Drosophila melanogaster: one gene and its partner. Changing the gene in region 1 together with any one later gene gives a genetic interaction. Each region holds a gene or a part of one and is shown in the gene's direction. Other genes may lie near its edges.

Region 1 (5,719 bases):
CTTGGCAACTCCTTTGTGATGCTCTCCCTCACCCAAATGCGTTTGGGTGCTGCCGAGCTTGTCAATGAAGGGCACCTTTAGCCGCGGCACTAGAGTATTCAGCTGGGAACCCATACTCGACGAACTGCTGGCCTCCAGGAACTTATTGTGTTGGGTCTTGGGGAACAGCGTCTTCAGAGACGTGTAGCGCCGCTCCCAGGTGGCATTGGCACAGCGAAAGAGCTCGTTGAAGACGACGAGGCCACCGTGAATGCGATCGTCTCGGGTCACGCCTTTCTGATCCTTGCTAGAGCCCAAGTCTGCATTGAAGCTTCCATTCGCCTCGTCATAGCAGATTCTGTACCACTGTGGTTCACTGGACTGCTTGGTGCTCTCTCGCTGAGCGGTGACAATCAAAGCCGCCCTCAAAGCCTCGCCAGCTGACTCTCGTATAGCAGGTTTGGGATCGAAGATGGCGTTAAAGATAACCTCGAAGAAGGTCAGGATGTGCTGGTAGAAGTATGTGGGCAAGGCGATAGCCAGCTCACGGAGGATAAAGACGGCTGAATGGCGGCGGTACTGAAAAAAATAATATATAAATGAATTTGGATAACTCTAGCCATGCTTACAACTACTATTTTCATTTTCATTATAAAGTTTTTCCATCTTCATCTCAAAATCAGACTTAAAAGCTTAATTTGTAGGTTTCCCTTATAATTCACCTCTTGTCTCTCGCCTCTGAGCACCTCAAAAGCCTTCTTAATATCAAAGTCGAAGGAATCGGCGCCCTTGGAGGTGGGCATGTTGGCCAATTTGACCAGGGAGCGGGCGGCAATCTCCATGACGGACACATCGTTGATTAGCAGAAGATCGCGCAGGCGGTTGAGATAGGGCGAAATGCCCTTCCTGGCAGTAAGACTGCCCTCGCAGTTAATCAGGCACTCTGAAAGGGAAGACGTTAAATCCTCTCAAGCACTGCCGGGGAGCCAGGAACTCACTCATGGCCAGGGCACCGCCTTTTTTCTCGTTGATATCTGTCGCATTCACCATCGTGAAAATGTGATGGTCGAACTCGTCGAAAAATTGGGCCAGCTCCTCCTGGGACATTTCGCGTAGCTCGGTCTTCACATAGAAGAGCAGATCCTGGGTTGCCTTGTTCTGTACATTCCGGTTGCGGGACTTAAGCCCGTTGACGAACTGCTGCACCACCGACGTCGTCGACATGGCTGGGCAGGGTTTATTCACTATTTAAACGCGATTTTCACTTGCATTTGGGAGGGGAAAGGGTGGAGCAGGTGCATCTGCCTGCTGTCTACGGACTTTGGAGGTTATCTTTTCAGTTGCCCCGGGGCGCTGTACGCACTGTTCCACTGGTCACTCGATAGGATTTCATGTGCCGGCACCGGTGCCGAACGATCTCACACGGATGCAGGTCCTTTGCTTTCTTTAATTGCGGATTACTTCGGTTTTTACGGAAATTTATTGCAGCCGCTGCCGATTAGTGATGTAAAACAGAATTCGATCAATTTACAATCGATATTTTCTTGCTGATACTTCTGTACTTGGCGGCGACTTATAAGCATTTAAAATGTTAGAGAACATATTAAATAAAAATAATAAAGTAATTAATAAATTTGTTCTTTATTATAAGCAATTAAAAAGAAATTGGCTTAAAGTTGTGGTACAAAACATTTATATTACTGGAGTGAACAAGTTGCATTGAAGAATTTGGAAAATAGCACAAAAATGCAAGCTTATGTTAAATTTTTAATAATTACCAACAAGTATTTCAAGATTTAACTGCGGAATGTGCTAGTGGAATCCGACTATTAATGTATCGTGACGTGCGTGAGTTTGATGTGAGCCCATCTCTATAGAGAACCTGGAGCCCTCGACGATAACCGATAGATCAATACTAGAGTGAAATCAAAAAAGCAAGAGAATTTTCATAAGAGCTGTTGAAACAAATGTGAGCTTATTTAATTTTAGAGCAGCTGAAAAAGCAGTTTTTACGCCACAAAACCACTGACCACAAGGTGTTGAATGAAAAGAAAGTGTGAAAATTGCTTTTGTGATGGGTAAAAGGTGGAAAATTCACCTTGCCGTTGGTGGCATGTGTGAAAATTGTATTGGAAAATCGATGCTGTGCTGCGGGGGTGTGAAGCTTTTCACTGGGGGCTGCTGCTGCACATCAGCGCCACCTATGCGTTTCCTCGCGGAAAACGCTCTCTCATTCGGGGGCATGGAAAATGCGTGTTTTTGTTTATAAGAAAAACGGTTACTTTTTCCCACAGCCAACGAACGATTTGACCGTTACCGAAGCAGAAGAAGAAGAGCAGCAACCGCGACCATGTCCAACTTGAGGAAATTCAAAGACGAGGAGCGCGAGTCGGAATATGGCCGTGTCTACGCGGTATCCGGACCAGGTAAGCGACGTCACCAGCGTCCTTCATGCGCTGACCCCCAAGTTCTGTAATCCTTAATCCTGCCTTTCTTCTGTTCTTAATTATACTCCTCCACATCTTCCTTTTTATCCTTCCTTATTATCCTTCTCCTTTTCATATTTCTGTATGCTTTCTTCCCCCTCCTCCTGTTCCGCATAATCTTCCTCATTATGCTGCTCTCTCCACTCCTTGCTAATCATATTTCTCCTGCTTTTCCTCCTTCAACAACTTTAAATCCACTTCAGTGGTCACCGCTGAGGCCATGTCTGGATCAGCTATGTACGAGTTGGTCCGCGTCGGCTACTACGAGCTGGTGGGCGAGATCATCCGTCTGGAGGGCGACATGGCCACCATCCAGGTGTACGAGGAGACCTCTGGCGTGACTGTCGGCGATCCGGTGCTGCGTACCGGCAAACCTCTTTCCGTGGAACTTGGACCCGGCATTATGGGCAGCATCTTCGACGGCATCCAACGTCCTTTGCGGGACATTGGTGTCATGACCAACTCCATCTATATACCCAAAGGTGTCAACACAACTGCTTTGTCGCGCTCGGAGATGTGGGAATTTAATCCGCTGAATGTGCGGGTGGGATCCCACATCACCGGAGGAGATCTGTATGGAGTGGTACACGAGAACACGCTGGTGAAGCAGCGCATGATTGTGGCACCCAGGGCTAAGGGAACCGTTCGATACATTGCCCCCGCGGGCAACTACAACCTGGAGGACATTGTCCTGGAGACGGAGTTCGACGGCGAGATAACCAAGCACACCATGTTGCAGGTCTGGCCAGTGCGGCAGCCACGTCCCGTCACAGAGAAGCTGCCAGCCAACCATCCGCTCTTCACGGGCCAACGCGTCCTTGACTCGCTCTTCCCCTGCGTACAGGGCGGCACCACTGCCATCCCCGGTGCCTTTGGCTGCGGCAAGACCGTCATTTCGCAGGCAAGTTGCAAATTATTCACTTAATCCACATCTTACATCTCATTAAATGACCATCCCTTCCAATCTGCACTTCAACCACCCGTAGGCCCTGTCCAAGTACTCCAACTCTGATGTGATCATCTACGTCGGTTGCGGCGAGCGCGGTAACGAGATGTCTGAGGTACTGCGTGACTTTCCCGAACTGACCTGCGAGATAGATGGCGTCACCGAGTCCATTATGAAGCGAACTGCTCTGGTGGCCAACACCTCCAACATGCCGGTGGCTGCTCGTGAGGCCTCCATCTACACTGGAATCACTCTGTCTGAATACTTCCGTGATATGGGCTACAACGTAGCCATGATGGCTGATTCCACCTCCCGTTGGGCTGAGGCACTTCGTGAGATTTCGGGTCGTTTGGCTGAGATGCCTGCCGATTCTGGCTACCCGGCTTATCTAGGAGCTCGTCTGGCCACATTCTACGAGCGTGCTGGGCGCGTCAAGTGCTTGGGTAACCCGGAGCGCGAGGGATCCGTGTCCATTGTCGGAGCTGTGTCTCCTCCTGGTGGTGACTTCTCCGATCCCGTGACCTCCGCCACTTTGGGTATCGTGCAGGTGTTCTGGGGTCTCGACAAGAAATTGGCCCAGCGCAAGCACTTCCCCTCGATCAACTGGCTCATCTCCTACTCGAAGTACATGCGTGCTCTGGATGAATACTATGACAAGAACTACCCCGAGTTCGTGCCACTACGCACCAAGGTCAAGGAGATCCTGCAGGAGGAGGAGGATCTGTCTGAGATCGTTCAGCTGGTGGGCAAAGCATCACTGGCCGAGACCGACAAGGTGACCCTGGAAGTGGCAAAGCTGCTGAAGGACGACTTTCTGCAACAGAACTCCTACTCACCATACGATCGCGTTTGTCCCTTCTACAAGACCGTGGGCATGCTGAGAAACATCATGGCCTTCTATGAGACCGCCCGTCATGCCGTTGAGTCCACAGCCCAGTCGGACAACAAGATCACATGGAACACCATCAGGGAATCGATGGGCGGAATTATGTACCAGCTGTCGTCAATGAAGTTCAAGGTGAGTGGGTTTATCTATTCCAACTATTATTTATATTAATAATTCACATTTTAAGGACCCGGTGAAAGATGGCGAGCAAAAGATCAAGGCGGACTACGACCAGCTGTACGAGGATCTGCAGCAGGCCTTCCGAAATCTAGAGGACTAAGCGGAAACGGACAGAAACCAACTGCGGGCTTTCCTAGCGAGAGGAATGGAAAAAGAAGCAAACCAAACGAAATAAGAAACCAAAGCTAGGTTATTATTCGAATTCCCCATTCAATCTAGTCATATTTACATAATGCATAATAAGATATTTGAATCCAAGTTTACTTATAAGTTTAACAAACAGTTTGGCCCGCTTCAGGTCTAGTCAGGTCAGAATCGAATCACCAGAAGATACGCAAAACGAAAGGAAAGACGAACAATAATTAGTCGGTAGCGCAAATGGAACGCAGTTAAACCAGCCATATACATAAATACCATACATATATGACACATATGTATAATTATCTATGTTGATATATAAATATAATTCACAGCTATGTATTGTTAGTAAATTTTCATATAGTTATCGATTGTGTTCGTTACCCTATTGTGTGAAACTAAACCAACTAAACGACGAGTCTAAAGGGCGTTTGAATCTTTACGAAATTACAAAATATTATATTCCTACATATTATAGACCTTTAAAGAACGCAATAACAACGTAGCCCCAAAAGCATGTACCTCTACTACCAAAGGATAGCTATTTCAGTAACTTGTGTGTGTTGCAAATGGAGCTATGGAAATAAAATGTATTATGAATGTTACAAAATGATCGGGTTTTTATTTACTTTCTTATAAAGTGGCGCAATTTTTTGAATTTAAAACAAATCGATGGGCGAGAAAATATCGATTTCAGATAGCACCGGTGTTAGACGATAGGTAACATCGAAATTCATCGATTACATTTAGCTATTGGTCACCTCTAGTTGACGTGTTGTTAAATTAAATATCATTTTGTAAATATATGAATTGCGCTTAAATTAAAGTAATCATGTCTCAGTTCGGCGGACCCAATGACTTTTACGGCTCCGCGCCCTCGGCCGATGCCAGCTACAACTTCGATATGCCAGAATTTGGCCAGGAACTGTGAGTAGTTACCCGGAATTCCATTTCACAGCATTCACAATTGTTGCCCCACTTGCTTGCAGGAATTTCCAAACCTTCGACAACACACAGGCCTCAGTGCCGCCGAACTACGATGCGTCCTATGCCCAACCGCCGAGCCAAGGCTTGGGTGGCTTCTACGATCCCACGGCCTACACC
Region 2 (6,488 bases), 1.9 Mb from region 1:
AACGTCACACAACTGCCAAATGTGACGTAGCTCCTCCACAGGAATGCGGCTCTTTTCAAAAAAGTTTCTAATAAAAAAAGGAATAAGAAAATAATAAGAAGAATAAAGTTATAAACGTTCCTAAAGCCAACTTACCTTGCTGCTTGGCCCGAAAGCAGACCATGCGGATCCCTTTGCACCGTCCTGAACTGCTTATTATAGTACTCGCGCTGTTCCGGGGTTATCTGGTAAATGGTCACCAATTCGCTCTCGTTGTCATCGTCGTCGCTGCTGTGGCGATCGGAAGACTCTTCCTCCGTGCCTAGCAGCTGGCGATGCTCGTCGCCCAGCAAACCCTGCCAGAGGGTGTCCTGCGCCCAAGGCCGCTCAGCCACGCTGTTGGTGGGCGTGGGGCTGTCACTGTTAGTGCTCCAGGCTTCTGGCGATCCACCACCAGTACCGCCTCCTCGTCGTCGCTAAAAGAGATAAGGCATGGACGGGGATCGGTCAATGGTAAGCTTATTTACAAATGTCACAAGATAAGATAGAAGTACAAACCCCGACATTTTCGCGGCTGCTGCTGCTGACGACCCCACAGCCATCCGTACCTCGTCCATGGCCTGTCGCATCGTCCACTGATTCGTTTTGCTCAACCTCGGAGTCGGTGCTGGGCACATCAGAGGTGTCTTGCAGCTGCTCTTGCTGCGAGTTACGACGCAGTGAATTTCTGCGATCTGTGGGTGGTGGCGGTGGCAAGGCAGTCAATCCATTTTCGACAGCCACCGGAGCTGTAACCGCCTCCTTCCAGCTAAAGTGCGGTAATGGAAGCGGAAACGTGGCCAAGATCAGCTCCTGGCGCAGGGGCATGGCCGCCTGATGAGCAGCGATTAGCTTCAGGCATGAGTAGAACTGTGTCCGCGAGATGTGTAGCGCCGTGGAGGGTATCCCCGCCAGACCGGTGATCTATAAGCCCAGACCCAGATAATTAATCACTCACGATCACACAAATTGGACCTACCTCAATCACGGTCTCATTGGCGATGTCCGCCGAGCGAAAGAGCTCGGTGGCCTTAAGCATGGGCACCTTGCCTGTCTTCTCCACGTCGCAGCATTGGAACAACTCACTGTAGAAGCGCGTCTCCGGCTCAGTGAGGGACACGTCCATGCCTGTCGCCTACTTGTTGCCGTCTCTGGTTTCGTTTACCAAGCCGCTGGTTAACGAGCCACGCCCCGTTCGTCCGTCCTGGACCCGGAATCCAATTCGTTTGTTTACTTCCACGTTTAACCCAGCAGGCCAGTGCCGACCCCGCTGCCCCGCGCTGCTCACAACCAGAAGTCTGATGATTTTCTGCCTTTGGCCCCCAAGACGGAGTTGGAGGAGGTGGAAGCTGGGAGAACTGCGGGGACGATGGTTTCGCTAACTTCTTGGTGCCACCACAACCACGATGGTTAGAGGATTCACGGCACTGGTCGACGAGGGTACACCTAGTGCCTCAAGCTGCTCGGCGCACAATCAATTTGGCTTTTTGTCCAGGTTTTTTTTCGCAAACTCTTTTGCACTGTGTGTGCGCTGGCTCTCGATATCGATAGGTTGCGGTATCGATTCGATTAGACAGCTGGCGCGGCAGCCCTGTACCTGTTAGCGTTTCGCAGCCCTAGTTACCGGCAAAAGTTTAGTTCCGCAGGATTGATGTTTTGTAAGGTGGCTTACCATGTTCATTTATATTTCATTATGGATTAAACTATAATAAAATTTAATGTTGCTGAATGAAGAAAAAATCATTTCTTCATTATTTTTAACGATATTTTTTTAACCGTCAACAAATTTCCTGTAGCCCTGTGCCACTGACGTCACCAATTCGCAAAGACTTTCCTGCGTCACCTTTCGTTGCACCACAGTGATCCCCACTCTGTTATTGTTGTCTGCGGCTGAACTGTTGCGACGCAAAAATTTAAAGGATTTGAAAGTCTTTATAGACTTATTTTAGTTAATAAACAGCCTCTGTGCAATCAAGGATGTTCTCCAGAAAGAAGCCAGAGCCAGCGAAAAGAAGGCAACACGATTTATCGCAGGTGAGAGGAAAAACAAACAGTCTAGATCCGTCTATTTATTAATTATGACTCATCGTTTGGACTGTCTTTTTTGTTTTTTGTGTTTAGTTCGGTCTTACGGAAATCCCAGATGATTTTGATCCCAGCGCTGGATATGGTGAGGACGATGGGGGTGACAGTGATTTGGAGGCAGAGCTTGCGGCCATAACCGGCGGAGAAGGAGCCAAGCCAAAGCCCAAGCCCAAAGCAAAGCTGTTACCCGCCAGTGATTTGGACAAAATGATAGCCGACAGCTTGCGTGATGTCAGCGACGATGATGATGATGACAATTTGGAAAGCGATCCGGATCTTCTTGGCGAGCTGAGCGGAATCGGTGGTCTAGAGGAGGCAGAGGAAGAGGAGCCTGTCGCACAACCGCCAGCTGCCTCTGAGGAACCCGTCCAGACCTTTCTGCCCACGACGACTGTGGACACATTAAGCATTATCAAACAGCGCCTGGAAATGTACAAGCAGGCCGAGGCCAATGCCAAGACTGCCGGCGATTCTGGCAAAGCAAGGCGATTTGGAAGAGGCCTTAAGACTCTGAAAGATCTGCACAGGCAGGCAGCGGCTGGCAAGTCCATTAACGTGGATGACATTCCACCTGAAGTCAGTGTAAAGCCAATTGGCGGGCAGGCTCCTCCAGTGCCTGCAGAGGAGTCACCAGCTCCTTCCACACCTGCTTCCCCTCCGCCTGTGCCTAGTCGTGCAGCTCCAGATCCACCAACCCCCGGCACCCCCGTGGAGCCCACTACATCTGTGGCTCCCACATCTCCCCCTAATCCTCTTGTGACGCAAATGCGCAGCCGCCAGACGGACTACAAAGCTGCTGCACTGCAATCTAAGCGCAGTGGTGACATATCTACTGCCCTTCAGTTTCTCAAAGTGGTCAAGCAATTTGACGTAGTTATAAAAATGTGTGAAGACGGACAGGAAGTTGATTTGAGTGACATGCCCCCTCCACCAGCTGAGTTTCTTGAATTCCTTAAAAAAATGCAAGAAGAAGCAGCCGCAGAAGCTGTCGCAGAACCTACTGCTGCCCCAGAACCCACACCTGTTGCTCCTGCTCCTGTTCTAGCAGCTGCAACAAATATGTTGGAGGCTCTGCAGCAACGTTTAGAGAAATATCAATCTGTAGAAGCGGCAGCCAAGGCAGAAAACAATAGCGGAAAAGCAAGACGCTTTGGAAGGATTGTGAAGCAATACGAAGATGCCATAAAGTTGTACAAGGCAGGCAAACCAGTGCCTTACGATGAGCTGCCTGTGCCACCAGGTTTTGGACCGCTGCCTACGGCTGATGCTGCTCCTGTCGCGCCGACACCGTCGCTGCCCACTTCGCCTACATCTCCACCGCCAACAGCAAGTACTTCCGCAGGAGGAACACCCTCCAGTTCCAGTGCGACGACACCTACAGCTCCTCGAAAAGCACCTTCACCTCCTAAGCCCAAAGAGTTAACAACACGCACGTCTGGCAATCAGCAGAAGAATAATATTGCCGAGCAACAAATGAAACTGCTCCTCGAGCGCCAAAAGGAGTTTAAGCTAGCTGCTATAGAGGCCAAAAAAGCGGGAGAAATAGATCAGGCGAAGGAGTACCTCAAGATCTTCAAGGGATTCGATTCCCTTCTTAATGCAGCGAGTAGTGGATTGCCAGTGGACCTCAGCACTGTAAGTTTTGCATTACATCTTCTTCTTGTATGGCTAACTATATATTTTTTTTTTTCAGCTTCCCGTCCCGCCTTCACAAAGGGATAATCTAGAAGCCTCCTTTGCCATTGTATCTGCTGAGGAATGCGATCCGACAGATGATATCTGTGAAATTGGTGTTCGCATGGAGGAGCAGCTGGCAAAACAACTGATGATGTGCAAAAATACGCGAGATCATCACAAAGCTATGGGAGATGTAGCAGGCATGAATCGGTTTGAAAATTTAGCCTTAACTGTGCAAAAGGATTTGGATTTGGTGCGATACTCGAAACGAAAGAATGAACCACTGCCAAAGTTTCACTATGAAAAGCGTAGCTTCAACATTGTGCATTGCAACACAGATCTCACAGACAGTGAGCTTGAAATTGTTGTGGTCCGGGGAATCAGCTACAATGTGGCCAATCCCAAGGACGTGGATACTTATGTGCGCGTAGAGTTTCCCCTGCTCAATGTAAGCTAATTACCAACATTTAAAGTTTCACCAATTATTTATATGTTTTCGTTTTAAGGATGAATCTTTCAAGACTAAAACCAATGTTATCAGAGACACCAGCAGTCCTGACTACGATGAACGCTTCAAGGTTGACATCCAGCGGACCAATCGTCAGTTCCAGAGAATCTTTAAGCGGCATGGCGTCAAGTTTGAAATATACTCTAGAGGGTAAGTTGCCCGTACATAAAAGAACTGAGCTAGAACAATTATTTAATCCGTACTAAGAAGCTTTCCATGCATATTAATCTCAACTAACGGAGGCGGTATATGATCTTATTTACGCGTATTAATTTTCCAAGGAATACTTAGTAATATCCGATGAGTAGTAATCTTCTACATTTTGAAATAGCCTTAAAGACTTAAATAAAAATATATATATAATTTTAAAAAATATTTGGCATAGATCATTTTGCGAAAATTTAAAAAGCTGTTGATTGAGCTGCATACCTACTAAATATTTTTATCCAATTTGTAGGTTTCGCTTGGGTATTAATTTGCTCTTAATATTAAGTTTCAGCTCTTAATTTGAATTATTAAATTTTTCCCGTAGTAAGCATGTTCCTTTGGTCCCGTAAAACAGTATCGTACGAGTCACGGCTTCAAGCACACATATATTTCACCGTATGTGTCTACCCATTGATCTTCTTGATTGATTCTCACAAGGAACATTTTAATGAAATATTTTTACAAATTTTTACGCCTCAATTCCCAACAATTCAAACAAAAAATAAATGTCATCCAATGCTACGCATTTAATATAAATAGCTGCAGTATAGATTGTTGTGGACTAAGTCGTAAACTGCCCCTGTGTTGTTTCAGAGGTTTTCTGCGATCGGATACGTTGATCGGAACCGTAAATGTCAAGCTGCAGCCATTGGAGACCAAGTGCGAGATACACGACACATATGATGTAAGTGATAACTACTATAATAAAATAATATAAACTTAAATTTAACCTATGTATTCCTTAAAACAGCTAATGGATGGTCGCAAGCAAGTAGGTGGAAAATTGGAAGTCAAGATACGCGTTCGCAATCCTATTCTCACCAAGCAAATGGAGCACATCACCGAAAAGTGGTTGGTCTTGGATGCCTAGGGCTAAACAAGAAAATTTAAATAAAATAGGAACGCGTCCCCTTGCGATTGTTCTCGATTAAGTCACTAAGTTATTTGTTTGTAAATATCCCTCACAGAAAATTCAATTTATCTAAGTATGTACGCTTTTGCCGATTCCTTCGCAGGAAGAAGGCATTTATATATTACGAACACAACACATATAATGTACTATAAATATCTTTATATATAAATAATATATGTATATATGATATTGCCGGCGTTAAGGCGAAGGCGCAAGTCCAGAAGATTGTGCCGGTGAAGTCAGTCCATTCCAAGAGAGACAGATTGAGAGTAGGATCGGTCCACTAGCGCCTAGCCGAAACCTGATTATGTTAGCTTTCACATTGCATAAATATTTTCTTTTGATTTATAAACTGTTTGTTGAACTACAACTCCAGATATTCGACTATTTGTGAGTAGGGACTGGTTTCATTAAACACATCCACACCGCGAACTTTATAGAAACCTGCCGACAAAAAAAGATTTCGGTTATGAAAGATGGAAATTTTGCAGGTTATGCTCACCATTGACGGATCCCTTATCGCCGGGCGCATACTGAAACGACGGATATGGCAGATGCCAGCCCTGTGAGATGAGCATCCAGTCGGCGGAGCGACCCAGATTATCGCGTTCCTTAAACCACACCTCGTAGCTGAGAAGGCACTGCGTGGATTTGGGGTGTTCCATCCAGCTAATGAACACCTCACGCTGAGTCACCTCTGCGATGGAAAGTTGCTGCGGTCGTCGCAGTTTGGGCCAAGATGCGGAACACACCCGGAGCAGCATCGCCCAGGGCAGTGGGATGCTGGCGGAGTTGATAACTAGCTCGCTGTTGTACTGCCAGATGGGTCCCGTCTTGTAGAGTCTAGGTGCTTGGGCTCTTCGCATCGCTTCCCTTAGAGTGGCGTTGGGATAAGCCGGACTTCCAGCTTGCTGCCATATGTAGTACGGATCCGTTTCCTTTGGCACCAGGAGCTCGGTGACGAAGGCCGACTCATTCGCTATCGACATGTTTAGCGTGTACTTGTGATGAAAGGCTGTCATCTTTGGACCCGCCTCCTCGGGACTCAGAAATATTGTGGCCATATACTGACCAGGACCG

The links.
Region 2: of Vha68-1 (region 1) and l(2)gd1, changing one suppresses a phenotype caused by changing the other (phenotypic suppression), as found in Drosophila melanogaster (one study listed by BioGRID).

What each region holds. Positions count from the first base shown.
Region 1 is NT_033779.5:13,000,270-13,005,988, reverse strand, and holds Vha68-1 (vacuolar H[+] ATPase 68kD subunit 1), read left to right. Parts: upstream 1-1,881; 5' UTR 1,882-1,948; exon of another isoform or gene 1,949-2,015; intron 2,016-2,273; 5' UTR 2,274-2,329; coding exon 2,330-2,405; intron 2,406-2,668; coding exon 2,669-3,366; intron 3,367-3,451; coding exon 3,452-4,429; intron 4,430-4,484; coding exon 4,485-4,577; 3' UTR 4,578-5,219; downstream 5,220-5,719. Other genes in the region: mTor (mechanistic target of rapamycin), read right to left, coding at 1-558, 702-922, 978-1,203; Yip1d1 (Yip1 domain-containing 1), read left to right, coding at 5,448-5,542, 5,605-5,719. UniProt on the Drosophila melanogaster protein: Catalytic subunit of the V1 complex of vacuolar(H+)-ATPase (V-ATPase), a multisubunit enzyme composed of a peripheral complex (V1) that hydrolyzes ATP and a membrane integral complex (V0) that translocates protons.
Region 2 is NT_033779.5:11,105,070-11,111,557, forward strand, and holds l(2)gd1 (lethal (2) giant discs 1), read left to right. Parts: upstream 1-1,873; 5' UTR 1,874-1,995; coding exon 1,996-2,052; intron 2,053-2,139; coding exon 2,140-3,738; intron 3,739-3,796; coding exon 3,797-4,228; intron 4,229-4,286; coding exon 4,287-4,438; intron 4,439-5,035; coding exon 5,036-5,180; intron 5,181-5,246; coding exon 5,247-5,366; 3' UTR 5,367-5,772; downstream 5,773-6,488. Other genes in the region: Reps (RALBP1 associated Eps domain containing), read right to left, coding at 1-67, 136-455, 538-942, 998-1,144; Idua (alpha-L-iduronidase), read right to left, coding at 5,773-5,852, 5,911-6,488. UniProt on the Drosophila melanogaster protein: Phosphatidyl inositol monophosphate binding protein involved in endosomal protein sorting through regulation of the endosomal sorting required for transport (ESCRT) pathway.